Linked DNA regions of Drosophila melanogaster. The protein of the gene in region 1 interacts with the protein of each later gene in a pairwise test. Each region holds a gene or a part of one and is shown on either strand. Other genes may lie near its edges. The genes, in order: loqs, loco, dtn and Hsp60B.

What was found.
Region 2: the proteins of loqs (region 1) and loco interact in a two-hybrid assay, tested with the Drosophila melanogaster proteins (one large-scale study listed by BioGRID).
Region 3: the proteins of loqs (region 1) and dtn interact in a two-hybrid assay, tested with the Drosophila melanogaster proteins (one large-scale study listed by BioGRID).
Region 4: the proteins of loqs (region 1) and Hsp60B interact in a two-hybrid assay, tested with the Drosophila melanogaster proteins (one large-scale study listed by BioGRID).

What each region holds. Positions count from the first base shown.
Region 1 is NT_033779.5:13,380,989-13,386,188, forward strand, and holds loqs (loquacious), read left to right. Parts: upstream 1-1,663; 5' UTR 1,664-1,799; intron 1,800-1,907; 5' UTR 1,908-1,951; coding exon 1,952-2,676; intron 2,677-2,748; coding exon 2,749-3,034; coding exon of another isoform or gene 3,035-3,103; exon of another isoform or gene 3,104-3,177; intron 3,178-3,538; coding exon of another isoform or gene 3,539-3,668; coding exon 3,669-3,806; intron 3,807-3,833; exon of another isoform or gene 3,834-3,995; coding exon 3,996-4,244; 3' UTR 4,245-4,683; downstream 4,684-5,200. Other genes in the region: beta'COP (coat protein (coatomer) beta'), read left to right, coding at 7-1,193; Ing5 (inhibitor of growth family member 5), read right to left, coding at 4,947-5,048, 5,111-5,200.
Region 2 is NT_033777.3:22,636,338-22,640,905, forward strand, and holds the start of loco (locomotion defects), read right to left. Parts: upstream 3,051-4,568; 5' UTR 2,680-3,050; intron 2,611-2,679; 5' UTR 2,603-2,610; coding exon 464-2,602; intron 120-463; exon of another isoform or gene 1-119. UniProt on the Drosophila melanogaster protein: Acts as a regulator of G protein signaling (RGS).
Region 3 is NC_004354.4:6,224,306-6,228,951, forward strand, and holds the start of dtn (detonator), read left to right. Parts: upstream 1-1,630; 5' UTR 1,631-1,869; coding exon 1,870-1,915; intron 1,916-2,134; coding exon 2,135-2,427; intron 2,428-2,494; coding exon 2,495-3,610; intron 3,611-3,671; coding exon 3,672-3,877; intron 3,878-3,938; coding exon 3,939-4,098; intron 4,099-4,173; coding exon 4,174-4,574; intron 4,575-4,642; coding exon 4,643-4,646.
Region 4 is NT_033779.5:726,561-731,076, forward strand, and holds Hsp60B (heat shock protein 60B), read left to right. Parts: upstream 1-1,801; 5' UTR 1,802-1,947; coding exon 1,948-3,894; 3' UTR 3,895-4,004; downstream 4,005-4,516. UniProt on the Drosophila melanogaster protein: Prevents misfolding and promotes the refolding and proper assembly of unfolded polypeptides generated under stress conditions.

The DNA.
Region 1 (5,200 bases):
TTGCAGGCGAGGTTTCGGAGTGCGTCAAAACAGGACTTTGGGTGGGAGACTGCTTCATCTATACCAACTCGGTGAACCGCATCAACTACTACGTGGGCGGCGAGATTGTGACAGTATCCCACTTAGACCGCACAATGTATCTGCTGGGCTACGTGCCCAAGGACAATCGTATTTACCTCGGCGATAAGGAGTTGAACGTGATCAGTTTCTGTCTGCAGCTGTCCGTGCTGGAGTACCAGACGGCGGTTATGCGAAGAGACTTTGAGCGCGCAGACGTTGTGCTACCGACCATTCCCAAGGAGCACCGCACTAGGGTGGCACATTTTCTGGAGAAACAGGGCTTTAAGTCGCAGGCCCTGCAAGTCTCTACCGATGCCGACCATAAGTTTGACTTGGCCTTACAGATCGGAGATTTGGAAATCGCCTTAAAGCTGGCCCGTGAGTCGGAGAACTCCCAGAAGTGGTCACAGCTGGCAGATGTGGCGTCTAGCAAGAACAACATGTCTCTGGTTAAAGAGTGCATGCAGAAGGCAAACGACTTAAGCGGTCTATTGCTGCTCTCAACAGCTTCCGGCGATGCCCAGCTGCTCGAGGTGGTGGGTGCGGCTGGCTCGGCCCAGGGACATCACAATCTAGCTTTCCTCTCGGCGTTCCTTCGTTCAGACGTGGAACGCTGCTTGGAGATTCTCATTGAGACAAATCGGTTGCCAGAGGCAGCGTTCTTTGCCCGCACCTACCTGCCCAGCCAGATGTCAAGGATCGTAGAGCTTTGGCGGGAGAAGCTTGGAAAGGTCAACGAAAAGGCGGGACAGTCGCTGGCCGATCCGGCACAGTATACAAATCTCTTCCCTGGCCTGGGCGATGCGCTGCGGGTGGAGCAGCATTTGCAGGAGGAGCGAGCTCGTAAGGCGCCGGCACGCCTCGCTGCGAATCTACCACTGAATAGCGAACGTCATCCTCTGCAAGAACTATTTGCCGCCGAGCAGGGTGCCGCCGGCCAGCATTTGGAGGAGAAGGTGAAGCCAGCTTACGTTCCCGCTCAAGCTGTTGTTTCTAGCAGCCAGGTGGCCGAGCCTACATCCGCTGCGGATGACGACGACGACCTGGACTTGGAAATAGATGGAATTACGTTGGATGATAACATTGATACGACAGATGTGAACCTCGATGACGATTTTCTAAGCGACGATTAGGACGGAAGATCACAGCCAGATCTAGAATACCATTTAAACTATCGTTTACTGCTACGGGAGTCCCACATTTCGTGCATTTCGAGCCACAGAATTCCGCGCATGCATTCACATTTGATTTGATTGAATGTTGTTTAAATATATATCTATTAATAATATGTACAACAGTAATGGAGCAAACACTGCAATAAATACTTATACAACAATTTCAAATATGGCGCTCACTTCAACTATTTCGATTACATTCTGATATCTTATCGATAAAACTTTTAAACAAACTTACGATCATGCCAGGAGAAATTAAAAATTATTTTTGTTCTTTTTTTTTTTTGAGTTAAATTAGTATTCATGGTCTATTTTATTATATATTTGTACAAAAAAATGTTCTGTACCTGTTACATACATTTATTTCAACATATTTACTCTACGAGTAGGGGGTGTAATAAGTAGGCAATCCAAAAAAAGTCTGGCAACCACAAATATCAGTAAAATACATACAATTCGTGTGTGCGTCTGGATTTTGCTGTATTTTTTATTTAAGAATGAATTATTAACTAACCATTAATAAATTATTATTAAATAAAAAACAGTTAAAACCGCGATTCAAACGTGAGTACTCCCCGAATTTCGGCGAGAGTGTCAACTGGACTTTTCGCCCGCTATTCGTCGGTGATGTATCGATTTTTCAAACAACAATTACCCCGAAATTTTAAACAGATACACACCGAATCCTCCCGAAAACCGTGCAAAACAAGAACACCATGGACCAGGAGAATTTCCACGGCTCCAGCTTGCCGCAGCAGCTACAGAACCTCCACATCCAGCCGCAGCAGGCGTCCCCCAATCCTGTCCAGACGGGATTTGCTCCACGGCGGCACTATAATAACCTTGTCGGCCTGGGCAATGGAAATGCCGTCAGTGGTAGTCCGGTGAAGGGTGCTCCGCTGGGGCAGCGCCATGTGAAGCTCAAGAAGGAGAAGATATCCGCCCAGGTTGCGCAGCTGTCTCAGCCAGGTCAGCTGCAGCTGTCAGATGTTGGTGATCCTGCCTTGGCGGGCGGATCGGGCTTACAAGGTGGAGTCGGCCTTATGGGCGTAATATTGCCCAGCGACGAGGCCTTAAAGTTCGTCAGCGAAACGGACGCCAATGGACTGGCCATGAAGACGCCCGTCAGCATTCTGCAAGAGCTGCTAAGCCGACGAGGAATTACTCCCGGCTATGAACTTGTCCAGATCGAGGGCGCCATACATGAGCCGACCTTCCGGTTTCGCGTGTCCTTTAAAGACAAGGATACGCCCTTCACGGCCATGGGGGCAGGACGATCGAAGAAGGAGGCCAAGCATGCGGCGGCCCGTGCGCTCATCGACAAGCTGATCGGCGCGCAGCTGCCGGAATCGCCTAGCAGCTCCGCTGGTCCGTCGGTGACTGGGCTCACGGTCGCCGGAAGCGGAGGAGACGGCAATGCCAATGCCACAGGCGGAGGAGAGTGAGTTTTTATTCTATTGATGTCTAAGATATGATTCTAAGATATCCAATTTATTGTATTATGTCCTTGCAGTGCCAGCGACAAGACCGTTGGTAATCCGATTGGCTGGTTGCAGGAAATGTGCATGCAACGGCGATGGCCACCGCCGTCGTACGAAACGGAAACGGAAGTGGGTCTTCCCCACGAGCGGCTCTTTACGATCGCCTGCTCGATACTCAACTACCGCGAGATGGGCAAGGGCAAAAGCAAGAAGATAGCCAAGCGCTTGGCCGCCCACCGCATGTGGATGCGTCTGCAGGAGACTCCCATCGATTCGGGCAAAATCAGCGACAGCATCTGCGGCGAGTTGGAGGGCGAAGTGAGTATCATTCAAGACATCGATCGTTACGAGCAAGTCTCTAAAGATTTTGAGTTCATCAAGATCTAACCCACAAGCAATTTTCTAATATTTTTAGTGCAATTATTTTGAATGCAGTCCCATGCTTTAGTTTATAAAATTTTAAAAATTGATTTTATCAAATATATGTCATAAATGTTATATATTATTTAATACGTTTGTCCTCTATCCCTTCTCAAATGTAATGTAGAACGTTTAGAGTAATCCTCAGTTGTAAATATCCCTATAATCTTTTAAATTATGTATCTAGCTAGAGTTTTAGTACTATAGCATCCCTTTTATAGTGTGCTATCTGATATTTTTTATTGTCCTTGTTTTTATAACTAATGTTTTTGACATAATTATACATATAATTAACATAATGCTTACACCTTATTTATATTTCTGGTTTTATTTATGGTTTATATTGGCTTATTTCATTTTTCATTTTTCATATTGTTCCTTGGCATGGTGATTGTTTTAAAGAACGAATCTGTAAAGCACCTTTTCCACACAAAAGTGATATGTTTCAACTCACCATTGGCGTGTGTGATTTCAAATGTGTGCGAAATGCAATGGAGAAAAGAAACCAAAAACTTTGCGCTCTTATTTACAGCCCCGCAGTAGTGAAAATTATTATGGTGAATTGAAAGATATCTCTGTGCCGACACTGACCACGCAGCACAGTAACAAAGTATCCCAGTTCCATAAGACCCTAAAAAATGCAACGGGCAAAAAACTGCTTAAGTTACAGGTAAATTTCAATCCAATAACGCTTTTTATTCAAAAACGATCACAAACATATTTCCAACATTCAAAACCTGCTTTCGAAAGTACATATTTGCCTTAACCCCTCACAATCCTTATAATAATAGTGTTCTTGCTTGAAAGTTCAAAGTTTAATTTGACTCTGCTAATTCGACTCCATTTGTATTTTTTTCAGAAGACTTGCTTGAAGAACAACAAGATTGATTACATCAAGCTGCTGGGCGAAATCGCCACGGAGAACCAGTTCGAGGTGACCTATGTGGACATAGAGGAGAAGACCTTCTCTGGCCAGTTCCAGTGCCTGGTTCAACTGTCCACGCTGCCCGTTGGCGTTTGCCACGGCAGCGGACCAACAGCTGCCGATGCCCAGCGGCATGCCGCCCAGAATGCCCTCGAGTACTTGAAGATCATGACCAAGAAGTAGGGGGTGCAGCCAACTGAATAGCAAAATCTGAACGCACACCACGACCACGATCACGAGTATTTGATGAGAGCGATTACCGAGTGGATACGGGATAACTAATGCACCAGTCTAATTGCTTTTCTTTCCACTTTTTGGCTCAATGCAGTGGCGATGTTACATATATATATATATATATTTTGTTTCTTTTCCACCGATTCCTTTGATTAGGCAGTTGTATTTGTTAACTGCATATGTAAATGTTCATATATGTACTACACTTACCGATGAATGTATGTACGCTTGCAAATACAGACAAGCGTGTAATCGATATTGGAATCTTCTAGTCGCTTTCAAATTCTGAAAAACGTAAAACGGCAGATAAAACTAGGTTTAAGGTAGACTACGTGCTAGTTTGCGAAGGAAAAAGGCTTATGAATATAATCGGTATTTGGTAATCGCTACTTTTGCAGTTTTCTTTTCCTTGGGCTGAAAAACTTTGTAAACTCCGAATTAAAGGGCATTGATGAATTGAAATTAATCAATCCAACTTTAGAAATATTCTGTGAAAACATCTTTTATGATATGGAATTATTTAACTACAAATTAGTTAGGAAATAAATTGACAAATATAATACTGAAGTTATAGTAGCCGTGGCTTTATTTAAATAGGTAATTTTGTGCTTAATCTAAAGTAGTATTCTAAGTAATCATAAAGGATTGCATCTATTTCTTCTTTCTGTCCTGCGTACACTTGGGACAGAACCACTTGCCCTTTGGCTTTGTGGTGAGGCCAACACAAGCGAAGTGAAACCACTCGATGGGACACTAAAATGGTAGAGTGAAAGATCTAGAACTGACCACAGAGTACATCAAAATCGAATACTCACGTCGGGATTGTCGCAGCCAATCATCTCTCCATAGGACACCTGGTGGCATAGGCAATATGTGGGCTCATTGGGATCGACGGGCATGTCCAT
Region 2 (4,568 bases), on another chromosome or scaffold:
GAATCCCCAAACCGTGATAATACCGATCGGAGCTGCAGTGTAACGGCCTGGACGTAAATAGTAACTAAAATCCGGCGATGTCCGTACCCGAATCGTAGATAACGGAACCGTGGCCACCTATTGCCAAAGCCCAACTGTGACTACCAAAACTCCGGGTAAGCGGACAAAGGAATGCCGATATATGGCCCACCAGACCACTAGAGAGAGAGAAAGAGCCCCTTATCTGTGGGCCCAGAGAGCAGGAGGAGCAGTGTGGGGCGATAAGCTCCGAGAACGCAGGTAACTTGGAGCGGCGTCCAGGTAAACAGATTTCTGCCCGCGCACAGGAGCGGTTCACATAAGCCGAGGGTTGTATGGGTTAGATTTGATATAAAATGCACTTATGATTATATTATAGGTATTCCCAATCATTTCAAAAACTTATGATACATGTAGGATAAACAAAAGGATATGCTCCACTTACCCCCAAATCAGGTTCACTGTTCGTAGCTTCTAAAAGGCAGTGGGAGGACGAGGAAGCGGACATGCTGGTCCGATCCTTGTGCGATTTGTGCAGATTCTGCAGGCTGGCCCACGTGTCCATGGTCTGATCCATACATGCACCACTGACCGACGACTGCACACTGTCGATGGCTTCGAAGCCCAGCGAATGACGCGAGCCAGGTTGACCAAATACCTGGGCACTCAGCTTGTGTGGCGTTGTTGGCGTCTCCAGAGCCAACGATCTGCGCATCTTGCGGGGCACACACGCTGGATGGGCAAACGTGTGGCCCTCATCGAGCGATGGAGCAGCCGAGTGCAGCGAAATGTCATCCATAGAGGCCACGGCAGCCAAAGTGCGCGGTGAATCGTCGACAAAAAGATTAAGGACATCATCACAGGAGCGGGTGGATGTGAGATTCGTGGCGGGACTTTGGATCAGATTGAAGCTGGCCAGGAGATTGGGTCGACGAAGCGAAGAGCTCGCTGGCGGCGATCTTAGCAGGGCGGAATGATCGGGCATGGCCCGCACAGTCAGTCGATTATCCGGTATTCCCACTATGCCCAGTGGACGAGCAGGAGCTGGATAAGTTGGTGGTCCTGCATGTGCCGCCGCCGCTGCTCCCGCTCCTGCAGCTAGGAAGTCCACAACCAGAATGCGATCCGAAATATTCGTACAATCGTTGTTGAAGCCAATGCCCGAATCCGAATTGGACGTGGTGGTGGAGATCTCGCTGTGGTTCGATGGCTGCGGCGAGTGGGCAGCTGCTACTGCTCCTCCAGCTGCGGCGGCTCCTGCACCCGCCTCATAGTCTGCCTGATGACTCCGACTTGCCGGTGGGAGAATCCGCATGGTATACATGCTGCGCACGAGATTCACCACATATTCCGAGTTGTTAGGGAACTCGAGACACAAATTCGAGATCGGATCCCGGGTGCACTGCAGGCGGAACTCGTGGGCCCGCTGCAAATGCTGTGCATGTTCGATCAGCTTGGTGTCGATGACGAAGACATGGCAGCTGTGCGAGATACTGATGTGACCAGCAGCTGCTGCGCTGCCAGCGCTCGGCTCGTACTCCTCCTCGATCTGTGTGTTGTGCACGGCGCTAGTGACCAGACCAAAGAATCGATTCTCGCTCTCCGACGAAGAGCTCACGAAGTTCAGCCTGGCCGAGGAGTAGGTGGCCAGCACTCCGCCGCTGGAACTCTGCAGGCTCAAGCTGTCCGGCGTGATGCACATCAGCACAATGGTGGGCTGTCGCTTCTCCTGTCTCAGTTTTCGAATGCAAGATCGAACTGTCTGCAGCTTGGAACTATGCGAGATCTGCTTGGGCATCTCGATGGTTCCCAGATAGCCAACAATAACACGGCACTCCAGTGCAGCACTGCCCACAGCTCGCACCATGGCACTTACATTGGCCACATCCGCTGCTTTGGATAGATTGGCTGTCAGAGGCGGATCCTCCAGAACGGGTTTTAATGTAGGGTGATCGGGTGATGACTTTGATTTGTGCGGTTCCACTGCCTCTGGTGGGTTTAGCTTCTTTTGTGGCGAGTTGCGCAATCTGTGCAGTTTGGCTTTGTGGTGTAGAAACCTGGGCTTGTGCCTCAAACTGGCTGCCAACAATTGACCCCTCAGCGTGGCATGGGCGTTCTCCTCATCCGAGCTGTCGGAATAATAATTCTCGGCGATCTGCATGCGAATACTGCCAAAGGAGTTGCCAATGAGCTGCACCACTGTTTCGTGTGGCAACTTGGAGACATTTAGACCGTTGACCGATATGAGGAAGTCACCGGAACGCAGGCCAGCTTGCTCGGCAGGTGAGCTGCTGATGATGCAAGACAGCCGACATGGTTGCTGCCCGGAAATGGTGAAACCGAAGCCATTGTAACCACGTCGCACTTCCACGGTGCGGATGCCATTGTAGTTGTAGTTGGCTCGCTTCTTGCGACGTCGCTGATGCTGCTGGCTGTTGGATCCCGAAGGCGTGGTTGAGGTGCTTATGGGGGCGGGCCCACTATTCGCAGCAGGTGATGCATCCTCCGCTGCAGCTGCTCCCGTTCCCACGGCTGTGGAGCCACTTGCTCCGGTTATGGGCAAAGGCGGATGATGGTGGTGCATGGCGCTTACTGTGTGGAGAAAACGAATGATGAGGAGTACTGGCCAATCTTAACCCACATCTGGACATTTGTACGCACCTTTCTCATGGATGGAAGCTGCAACCTGGATTTCTGGAAATGGAATGCGGTTTCTGTTGCGCCCCTTTTTGGATGATGCCCCCTCTCGCTCGCACCCGTGCGTCGCCTATGCCAACTATGTAATCAATGGCACACACACATGCGCACCAATGGCCAGGCGTATTTTGTTACACTTTTCTAGGCCTCTAATTAATTGATAACTAACTCTTCTTTGGGTGCTACCTCATATTCACGCGGTTAATAACATCGTTGTAACTTTATCAGGCATATTTGTAGCAATTAATTGTGTGTAAATCGGTAATTAAAATTATGTCTACAATGCGCAAGCGTAACTATGATTAGAGATGGAACACACTAAAATGTTTACTCGATACTATCGATATTACATACCTTTTGTGAAACATCGATCACTTTGACACACCATATTTTTAGTAATTACTGTTAAAGTTTTGCAGAATGTCAACAATTTTTAACAAGCAGTTCTAGAGAAAATTTGATTTGTTCAAATATTGAAGGCATTGACCATTGATAGAAAAACGATATTTACAAATTTGAATTAGATAAAAACAGGGCTGCCAGACTCATTGAAATTTATGAAGCAATCGTTGCCACACTGGGCTGACCTTCGTTGCATAGCAACGAACTTTTGTCACATCCCACTGCCGTCAGTTACTTTTCGATTTAAATAAAAGCTCCGAACGCTCGTCCTTTAAAGTCCTTCCGGTGAGCTTACATCTGCGTAGCGTGTTATTTGTGTTTGGCCCACGCCGTTTCAGTTACATTGGGACTTTCAAACGCATTGGTTGAACGCGCGCACCCAGAACCGCTGTTGAATTAGTTTTTGAACCCGAAAACAGCAGTTAAATTGCTCGAGTGAAATGTAAAATGTTATTGGTAAACGGATCGAAGTGTTCGAAGTTCTAACGCTGAAATGTTTAAGGATTATCCGTAGCAAGACCTGCAGAAGTGACCCCAGTCAGCCAGTGTTGAACCAATTGAAATGTTGGCAAGGACATTACGGACAAAGAATAGAAAGCCAATAGAAAGCAATGGGGGTGGGATGTTGCGGAAACGGAAGTGCCAAATTGAAATGCCATTTAAGCCAGGCGAGCGATTTGCCCGTCTTCGTTTACGGCTCATCCGGATTCGTCTGCGTCTGGTCAGGGCACTCAGATTTCTTGCGGGGAATGGATTCGAGAGCGCGGCAAGTGCGATCCCCAGACGACACTTGGCGTCGCTCTTGACATTGATTATATTCATGAGACCAAGTCATAAATTCCAGCCCGACTGTTTACGAGGATTCTAACACCAATCCGCTGTCCCCGATTCCCGGTCTCTGCCCAAAGATGTGGCCAAGTTGCGACTGGAGTGCCAATAAAATCATTAACTGTTGCAGCGCATTAAATTCATGGCCCAGACGATGCTGCCGCGCTATTCAGGCAGCAAACATTGTCATAAAACCTCGGCCCATTCACGCCATATTTCATTTCATCTCCTCATCTCCATCTACCTCACATCCATCTACCTCACATCCTAATTGCCGAAGGTCCTGAGTCCCGTGGGCGTGTGAAAAACTATTAAAAGGCCGTTGGGCCGTGCATCGTGGGCCCATAATTAATGGCGACAATGACTTGATCGGCCGATAATTAATTTATCGTCATTTATATTGCCAAACTGACTCGACGCGCACATACTATATATGTGCTATATACATGGTTACCAAAACGGTTGGCGATCCCATGGGAGCTCGTAAATTGTCCAGAAGTCTAGTTCCTACTTCACTTTAATTTCTTGGCTAGCGAAAGTTTTCTTTTCAACTAAGCCCAAGTAAGTTTCAGTTGGTTCTATTGTATTATTTTGGCACATGCTTCATTCCTGCTCGCCTCTCA
Region 3 (4,646 bases), on another chromosome or scaffold:
AACATCTTATTGCTGCTCTTTAAGGTTTTTTAAGGAATGAAGGTTTGGCCATTGCCTAAAATGGGCGAACTACAAATTATATTTATAAATAAATAGTTTTAATACAGTTTTAGGCCAGAAAGGATAATGCAAAAGCAGTTCGATGGCTCCATGCTTCCGCTACAGTTACAAGTCCACCTTATCGGGCGCCCACTGTGAGTACGACTCATGCACGCACACATGCGCAGCTCTCTGAGTCACTCGCGCAAACGAAAATGACACGTATGGGAGTTTCGCTCTCGCTCTGCGCCAGTGCGTGCATGTGTATGCGAGTTTATCAATGCTGTTGAACTGCGGTTAACAAAAACAACATCGCACACGTATTTGGCTCATTGAAAACATTCTCACACACACTGGCACACGCATTTCAATTAAAGCCTTAAAAGGCCAGAAAAAAACCGCAGTTGAAGCACCCAAATTCACTCGAGAACTCAAGTTGGGCCAAATGTTTGCGACTTCGTTGATTTATCACTTTCGAATGGACATTTAAATGGAATTATAGCACAAAAACAATTGTTTTCATTTGCGCGCTGCCGACGCTGACTCATACGCATACACTAACACACACGCACACTCACATAGGGCAGCGCCCTTTGGGAGTTCAGTTCGTTTATTTTATCGAATATGATTGCTTGATTACGCCTGATTTGATTCATACTCACAGCTGCCGAATGCCGAGTGTTTAATACTATCGAAGTTTCGTTAATGCAACTTTCGACCAGCTGCACTTTTGTCTTTTATAATTTCGGTTCGACGAGAAGGCCAAGTGTGACCAGCATAGAGGCGGTTTCAATTTATCAGAAAATACCGCAGAATATGCTAAAAATTACTGTGCAAAAGTGCTAATTGTTGGAGCTCCTAAAATAAATAAATATTAAGACTATAAATTATATTATAAAATATAAAATTATATTACAAATGTGAATACTACTGAGACTAGGACCATGGCTATTAGAATCCTAAAAACCTATTGTCAGTTGTGCTACCAGATCTTGTTTTAAAATATTCGTTCCTAAGAAGCTCTTTTCTTGTAGAATCTAAAGTTTCTCAAAAAATTTTCTTAAGCAATCCCAATTAATTTTATTTTTCTTTATTCTTCACTGTCAAACATGGTATTTTTTTTTTTTTGGTATTAACTTTTTGAATTGCCCGCGTTCTGATTGGAGTTTCAGGAGTATGCGCACAGTCTGGCAGCCCCATATTACAGCACTTCCAAATACGGTAGTACCACTATCTTAGGATATTGTTTTCAATACGGTATGGACACACTGCAAAGTGTTTGGAATGTTCGATATTTGTGTAAAATTCTGAGAGACCTGAATGAAAAGAGGCATGCATTAGGGCGTCGAACGAGGGATTTTCCAGCCCAGCAGATCCTTGCCAGCGCGTGAAAAGCGAGTCGAGTGAAAAATCGAATCGATTGGCACGGTTGCGGTCCAATTAATTTCGAACTGAACTGCGCGATTTGCAGGAGAAGATGTGTCTATACCTGCATGTGCATGTGTATCTGTGTGTGAGGTGGCCCACGGCTGTGTGTGTGAGCAGCGTGTGAGTGTGTGTTGGTGTGTGGGTGTGTGGGCACACTGGAAAGAATCAATAAAGGATGTGCTGCGGATTGCTGAGCGAGAAAAAAGGACGAAAAGTGCTAGCCAGCGCGAATTAACGGTTGACTTTTGGCACGATTAACGGAATAACGGTCAAATAAGCCACACAAGCGAGAGAACAGTGAAAATAACGAAAGTGCGGGCACAGTTAATTAGCAAATTAACGAGTGGGTGGGCACAGGATTTCAGGATTTCGATATATTTTGGATTCCTGCACACGAACAAGATGATGAGATACTGCCTCATAATTGCTTTGCAGCTGTCGTTGGCATGTAAGTATCAAATAAAGTTTCCAAACCCAGGGGGGTGGTACAAAAAAAGCGATGGAGTGGGAGGAGGGAGTAAGCCAGTGGGAGGGGGATAAAGGAGGAGTGGGTGACCTCCGGGTTTAAGAAAATCCCCAACCCCTATGTTACCATTACCAAAATTCAACTAATTGACTCCTTCATCTACTCCCAACCCATAACAAATCCATGCCGAATCCTCGCCAGACTCCGTGGAGGTGCACTTCGAGGCGCCGGACAGCGGCTTCTTTCTGAAGCACGCCCGCCAACCACCTGTGACGCCGGAGATCGCCAATGTGCAGACATCCTCGGCGGTGCCGCCGTTACGGCAACGATCCTCCTATGATTCCGTGTTATCTCTGGACAGATTCACTGTGGTCGAGACCACGCAGCCGGTGTCCATACGCGCCAGCTATGGACCGTTTTCCACGAAACAAACGGTGCCAGCCCGCTACATTGTGCCGGACACAATGGACAGCCAGTCGGGCGATTATATGAACGTGAGTTATCCCCAAATCCTGGCAAGCAACAAAAGGACGCCTTGTCATACCACTTTCTCTCCCACAGAATGCCACTCTACTGGAGCTCCAGCAGCCAAATATGCACCTGGACATATCCGCCCATTTGGTTCGCTCCAGTGTATCGCAGGATGCTCCCGTGCTTCGGGTACTATTCCACGCCGGAGCCGATCCGGGTGGTCATTTGCAGCGCCAGAAGGTCTGTGTACTCCTGCACGTGGCGATGGGTTCGGAGCAGCCGCTCAAAGGACGCTGCATGCCGGAGGGCGAGGACGGTGTCTGCGTAGCCGAAGTGGTCGTGCCCCTGGGCTGGTGGCCCCAGCTGCCGGCGCCCACACAAGATGGCAGTGGTCAGGCGCCACCCAAAGTACCGCAGCGGTATGCCCAGGTCTCGTACAGTGTCTTTGAACCGCCTTTGCGTAATCCCGAGCAATGCGAGCCGAAGGTGCAGATCCAACCGTTGACCACATTCGCCCAGGTGCCTTTGTTGGCCGCCAGGACTCCCTATCGTATGTTGCGCGCCGATGATGCCGTCACCTTTCTCCTGCCACAACATCCGCTGTATCCACTCTCCCGTCTACATGTGCCCGTCTTTTTACATCAATATCCCGATCAGCGGGTGGCCGCCTTCACTGTGAGAGCTCGTGTTAAGGCGGGCTTAAAGATTCTGGGCGCCACCGCCTCCACAGACCAATGGAGCGTTTCTGTAGAGAAGGAAAATCCCAAACACACTACCGCTCGCGTTACTGCTTTCCGCAAAGAGGCCGAATCCAGTCTGGAAAGTGGTGGCAACCTAACCAGCGAGGTGTTTGAAGTATTCTCATGGCTGCTCGAGGTGGCCGAGGACACCAATGATATTGTGGACGGTGGCAAGATTGTGTGGTCCGTGACGCATGTCTATGACACGCCAAAGGACAAGGATTCCGGGGAACTGGTTATACCCGATGACAACAAGAAGCGACTAATTGCCAAGCTGGAGATCAACAAGGATGACATTCAGGCGGTGCTACCGATGGCCAAAATCTGGGAGGTGATGAACACGGCGGTGCTAACGGGCAGACAGGTGGCCCAGGCGATGAAGGTGTTCATCGTTTCGCAGGCAGGCAAGGTGGCCGATGTGACGCTACAGAGCTCCTGTCACGCCGAAGATGAAAGTGTAATCAAGGTGCGTCTGATGACTGTGAATCGTGCAATTGCTAGCTAAATAACCAATCAACTTCTTTCAGGTCTCCTCCTCCTGCAGCTCTGTTTATGTGGATGGCTCCGAGCAGCGCGGCTCATCCAATGCCTCGGTCATTGTCAAGTATGGCACCTATGTGGGCGTGGCCAAGTTCATCGTTTGGATGCCCGAGTTTCCGCTGGAAGTTTACATATCCGATTTCCGTCTCTCCCAAATCAAAGGATGGAAAGTAACCGATGACAATCACTATCTGTAAGTTTATTATCCTGTAGTTTGAATATCTTACTTATCATTCTTATTCATTGCATGGCAGACACAACAAGCAGTCTCGTCGAAGAAAGAAGAGATCCTACGTTTGGGGTCAGCATGGAACGAACTACTATAACAATCTGGGAGCGGACAAGACGATTTGTCGCGCTCGCTACCAGCAAAGTCCCGTGGAGGTGTATGCCAAGTTCCTGGCCGTGGACCAGGTGGGAATTCCTGAGCTTCATAAGCGTCAAAAGTGATTATATAGCCATGTTTCTCTTCTTATCCATTTGAAACAGAACTCTGGACGCACCAGCTACTTTATCTCACGGCGTACAGGCTTAAGAGTGACGGATCTGGTGCAACCGCTGCTCCGTGTGGCCGATCCCAAGATCGCATCTCTGAAGGGTCGAATTCTGCAGGGCAAGTCCATGGGACGCACCGATGTCCAGGTCCTGTCACCCATAACGGGTCGAGTAATTGGCACCAAGGAAATCCGTGTGGGCAGCGACAAGGTGAACCTTTCCAAGCTCATCGTGCGCGTTATTTCGGGTCTGCAGCTTACCATCAGTCCGGACAACACGATTGAGAACGGCTACCTGGCGGAGACTTCTGTCACACACAAGCTAACTGCTCAGTACCAGGAGGGATTGCTTGACATCGATCTGGAGTTTACCGATGGCTCCAAAACTCCTTTGCGGTGAGTGAACATTATACGACTTTCAATTCGCGTATATTCATTAAAATTGTGTTACTATGTGATTACAGAGAT
Region 4 (4,516 bases), about 13 Mb from region 1:
TAATTACAGTGAATGCGGCCAACGATTTTCATGCACTCTTGACACCGCCCGGTACGTGACAATATGAGAGGCACTCATTCCGCGACGCAGAGTTGGCCACAGTTGGGTCAAAAAAACTAGGGGGGCAAAGGCTAAATTGAGGCTAAGCTTTAGCTGCCTCATTACACTCAGAAATATGCACTAACAGCTAGCGTATGGCCAGAATTGAAACATGACACACACATTTTATATGCCCGTTAATTACTGTAATTCAAGATCAAAATTATTGGCCATTTAAAATTGTTGAACCTGATAATTTGCTATGACGACCACCAAATTATTTATTTTAGTGCAGTTCATCGATAGATCGCTCCCATCAGCTCAATCTGCACTTGGCTGCCCCAGATCCCAGATCCAGGAATTTCGTCTGCCTGGTACTTACGCAAATGCTCAGATTGAACTGCCAGTCTATCGTCTGCAGTCTATCCATTTCTCATTAAAACTTTCTTTGCTGTCTGCTCCACAATTACCCGAACGACTTCATCTGCTCGATCCACGGATCCATCCGCGGGTAATGACAGAGCCGGCAAAAAATCTGCCAAAACCAATAGGAAATCATCAGCCAACGGTCAGTGGGTTAATTTTGGCCCACCAAAAATACTGAAATGAATTGGAGAATCCCCGAAGATGGCCTGCAATTAATCATAGATTGAGGCTTATTCGCTATCCAGCGAAAGTAATTTGTAGCCGACAAGAGACCCTGCAGATCGCTTGTAGTTACGATTATCGCACAGCCCACCAGGTGGTCTTCCCACCATGGACACTTTCACATGTCGCAGAGTTGGCGCAGATGGGGAGAAAGGTTGCGAGAGGAAGAAGAGTCGTCGAACATGCAAATGCCTCATCAATCAGCTCCTCCGCCCTTCCCCTTCAAATCGGTGACGTGCTTTTGACACAAAACCCGGCTACTGTGCTACCGCTTGCACATGGCAATCAACGCGTCAAGCGGCCAGGAAACGGATCCCGATTCCGACCCCAGTTCCAATTCCCGTCTGCGGCACACAGAAAAAAGTTATACCTACTGAACTAAATGTGACATTATTTTATACGTATAGAATACGAGAGATAGCTCATATAAATCGCATTGAATTTATATGCAAACCTATTTCTAAACATTCATACCTAAGTGCAATTCATCGTGCGAAAGTAATGCCTTCTTGCGCGCTGTGCACCCAACATTTTCATCCCATCTCCATTTCCATCTCCGCCTCAAACTCCCCATTTCCATTTCCATTTGCCGTTTGGCTTGCAGCAAAATGTGTGAATTTCTTTAGTTTGCAGTAGGCAGCACACAATTTTTGACAGCTGCCTTCGAAATGGGAACGGTCAGCCGAGGAAAATGCATCCATCCTCCGGTGCAGAACAGTCGCACCGCAGTTCTGGGAAATCTGCACACGCTGGTCTTGTTTGTGGGTCAGCCTCAGCCGATGGAGGCGAATAGAACTGCAAATGGGCAGACTCCACCCAGAATGTCGGGGCTTATTAGCTGCACGCTAATTTATTCCGGCAAACAGAAGGCACGGCTTCTGTTGTCGAAGATTTCAGAGCCGCAGATCGCAGACGGGCAGGCGCCAGACAAATGAATGTTGTGAAATCTGGCGATTGCCTGGAAACTTGTCCGCAAAGAGAAAAAAGAAAAAAGAGAAAAGTGCTCAAGGAAAAGCAATATAAATAAAGAAGAATGGCTTGCACATGTTACATAAAACGAGAAGCTTAAAGATAATGGAAACAAAATTTGGATTTGAATATGGGAGTAGGCCTTGAACGAGTCCGTCTAGTCCGTCAGTATCGAGTCAACAACCTACATATTAGTTGCACTCACTTCGTGTCTGAGATCAAACGAAAAAATATTAGAACCAAAAGTTTTGAAAGTTTTTTTTTTATTATAGTTTCAAACTTAAGTGCAAAATGTTTCGGTCGTGTGTGCCCAAGGCGATTACCTCTAGTCGCTGTTTCGCGCGGATGTACTCGAAGGACGTGCGCTTTGGCTCCGGAGTACGGGCAATGATGATCCGGGGCGTTGATATTCTGGCTGATGCCGTTGCTGTGACCATGGGGCCCAAGGGTCGCAGTGTGATCGTGGAGCGACCATGGACCTCGCCGAAGATCACCAAGGACGGCTTCACGGTCGCGCGCTCGATTGCCCTAAAGGACCAGCACATGAATCTGGGCGCCAAGTTGGTCCAGGATGTGGCCGATAATACGAATGAGTCGGCGGGTGACGGCACGACCACAGCAACAGTTTTGGCTCGAGCGATTGCCAAGGAAGGATTCAATCAGATTACCATGGGGGCTAATCCCGTGGAGATTCGTCGAGGTGTCATGTTAGCTGTTGACGTCGTAAAGGACAAGCTGAAGGAAATGTCCAAGGCAGTGGAAACGCGTGAGGAGATCCAACAAGTAGCCACCCTCTCCGCGAACGGGGATACTGAAATTGGGCGGCTCATTGGTGAGGCCACCGACAAAGTGGGTCCAAGAGGAACTATTACTGTAAAGGATGGCAAGCGCCTGAAGGACGAGCTAAATATTATCCAGGGCCTGCGCTTCGACAACGGCTATGTGTCGCCCTTTTTCGTAAACAGCTCCAAGGGGTCCAAGGTGGAGTTTGCCAACGCCCTTGTAATGATATCCCTGAAGAAGATCACTGGACTCTCGCAAATAGTTAAAGGTCTGGAGCAATCCCTGAGGCAGCGTCGTCCCCTGATCATCATAGCCGAGGACATCAGCGGGGAAGCCCTCAATGCTTTGGTCCTGAACAAGCTCAGGTTGGGCCTCCAGGTGTGCGCCGTCAAATCGCCCAGCTATGGACACCACCGCAAGGAGCTTATAGGCGATATATCCGCTGCCACGGGAGCAACTATTTTCGGCGATGACATCAACTATTCCAAAATGGAGGAGGCTAAGCTGGAGGATCTGGGTCAGGTTGGCGAGGCTGTGATTAGCAAGGACAGCACCATGCTCCTGCAGGGCAAACCCAAGACAGGACTTTTGGAAATGCGCATCCAGCAAATTCAAGATGAACTGGCGGAAAAGCAAATCAAGCCAGAGCAGCGGGATCGTCTGCGCCAACGCCTCTCCGCCCTCACGAAGGGCGTGGCAGTGCTGCACATTGGTGGAGGCAGTGAAGTTGAGGTGAATGAGAAAAAGGACCGTGTGGTGGACGCCTTGAATGCCACTCGAGCGGCCATCGAAGAGGGAATTGTCCCAGGTGGCGGTACGGCCTTTTTGCGCTGCATTCCCTACCTCCAGGAACTCAAAACGGAGAGTGCAGATCTCCAGAAGGGCGTCGATATCGTCTGCAATGCCCTGAGGATGCCTTGCCAGACCATAGCTCAAAACGCCGGAGTTGATGGCCCAATGGTGGTGGCCAAGGTGTTGAATGGCTCGGAAGACTACGGCTACGATGCCATGGGCGATGAGTACTGTCGGCTGGTCGAGAAGGGCATTATTGATCCCACAAAGGTGCTGCGGACCGCCATCACGGATGCAGCTGGAGTGGCCTCTCTTCTGAGCACCACCGAGGTGGTTATCACCGACTCCCGGAACGATGATCTTTTGTCCAAGTTGTCAGGAGCTGGCGGCGGAATGGATGATGGACTGGACATGAACATGGGTGGCTTAGAGGAGCTGGCAGCCTTAAGTGGATTGGGTGGCATGGGTGGTATGGGAGGCATGGGTGGTATGGGAGGTATGGGAGGAATGGGAGGTGGATTCGGCGGAATGGGCGCTGGTGGCGGAATGAGCGCTTCTGCCAGCAATGACGGTCCCACTGCCGAGGAGATGAATGAAATGGTCAAGGCTATTCCCGGCATGGAGCAAGTAGAGGTGCGTGACATTGACAGTGGGATGATGTAGAACCCGCTTCCGTTATCCGCTCCAGCTCAAATCGTTTCTATAGTTCAAATATCTGTTGAGTGTCTAAATTTTATGTGTTCATCTAAAATATAAATTGACAATCGAAAACGAATTGTATAAAACAGTCGGGAACCCTTCCAAATGACTTGAGAAAGTGAATTATTGGCCTTTTCCCTACACCAGCAGTTTTCTGGCCAAATATCTTTCAACCGGTTCATTATGCTGGTCTGCAAAAAGCTACACTTCCTTCACACTTTCGGTTTTTAATTGCAGCCGAAAATTTGGAACGGCGACCGGCAGAGCGAATCCAGCTGCAATGCGATGATCATTTGCATAAAACAAACAGCAATTTCTCACACATGTGAGCCGACCCTCGGTTTTTTCCCCCGTACTTTGCATGGTTTGTGTTTGCAGATTTCATTTGTGGCCCGCAGCTAAAAAAGCGATTCGTTACATGAGAGTGAGTGCGCAAGAAGGGGGGCCTGAGGCTGGGAGCCTCCACAAGAGCGTCACATCAAACATGCATCAATAAATAAGTAATTCCAATTTGCAAATTTTTCATCGAGGCCCGCAAACGAACCGAAAATGGTGGACGGACCCATCGAGCATCGAGCGTGGGCCA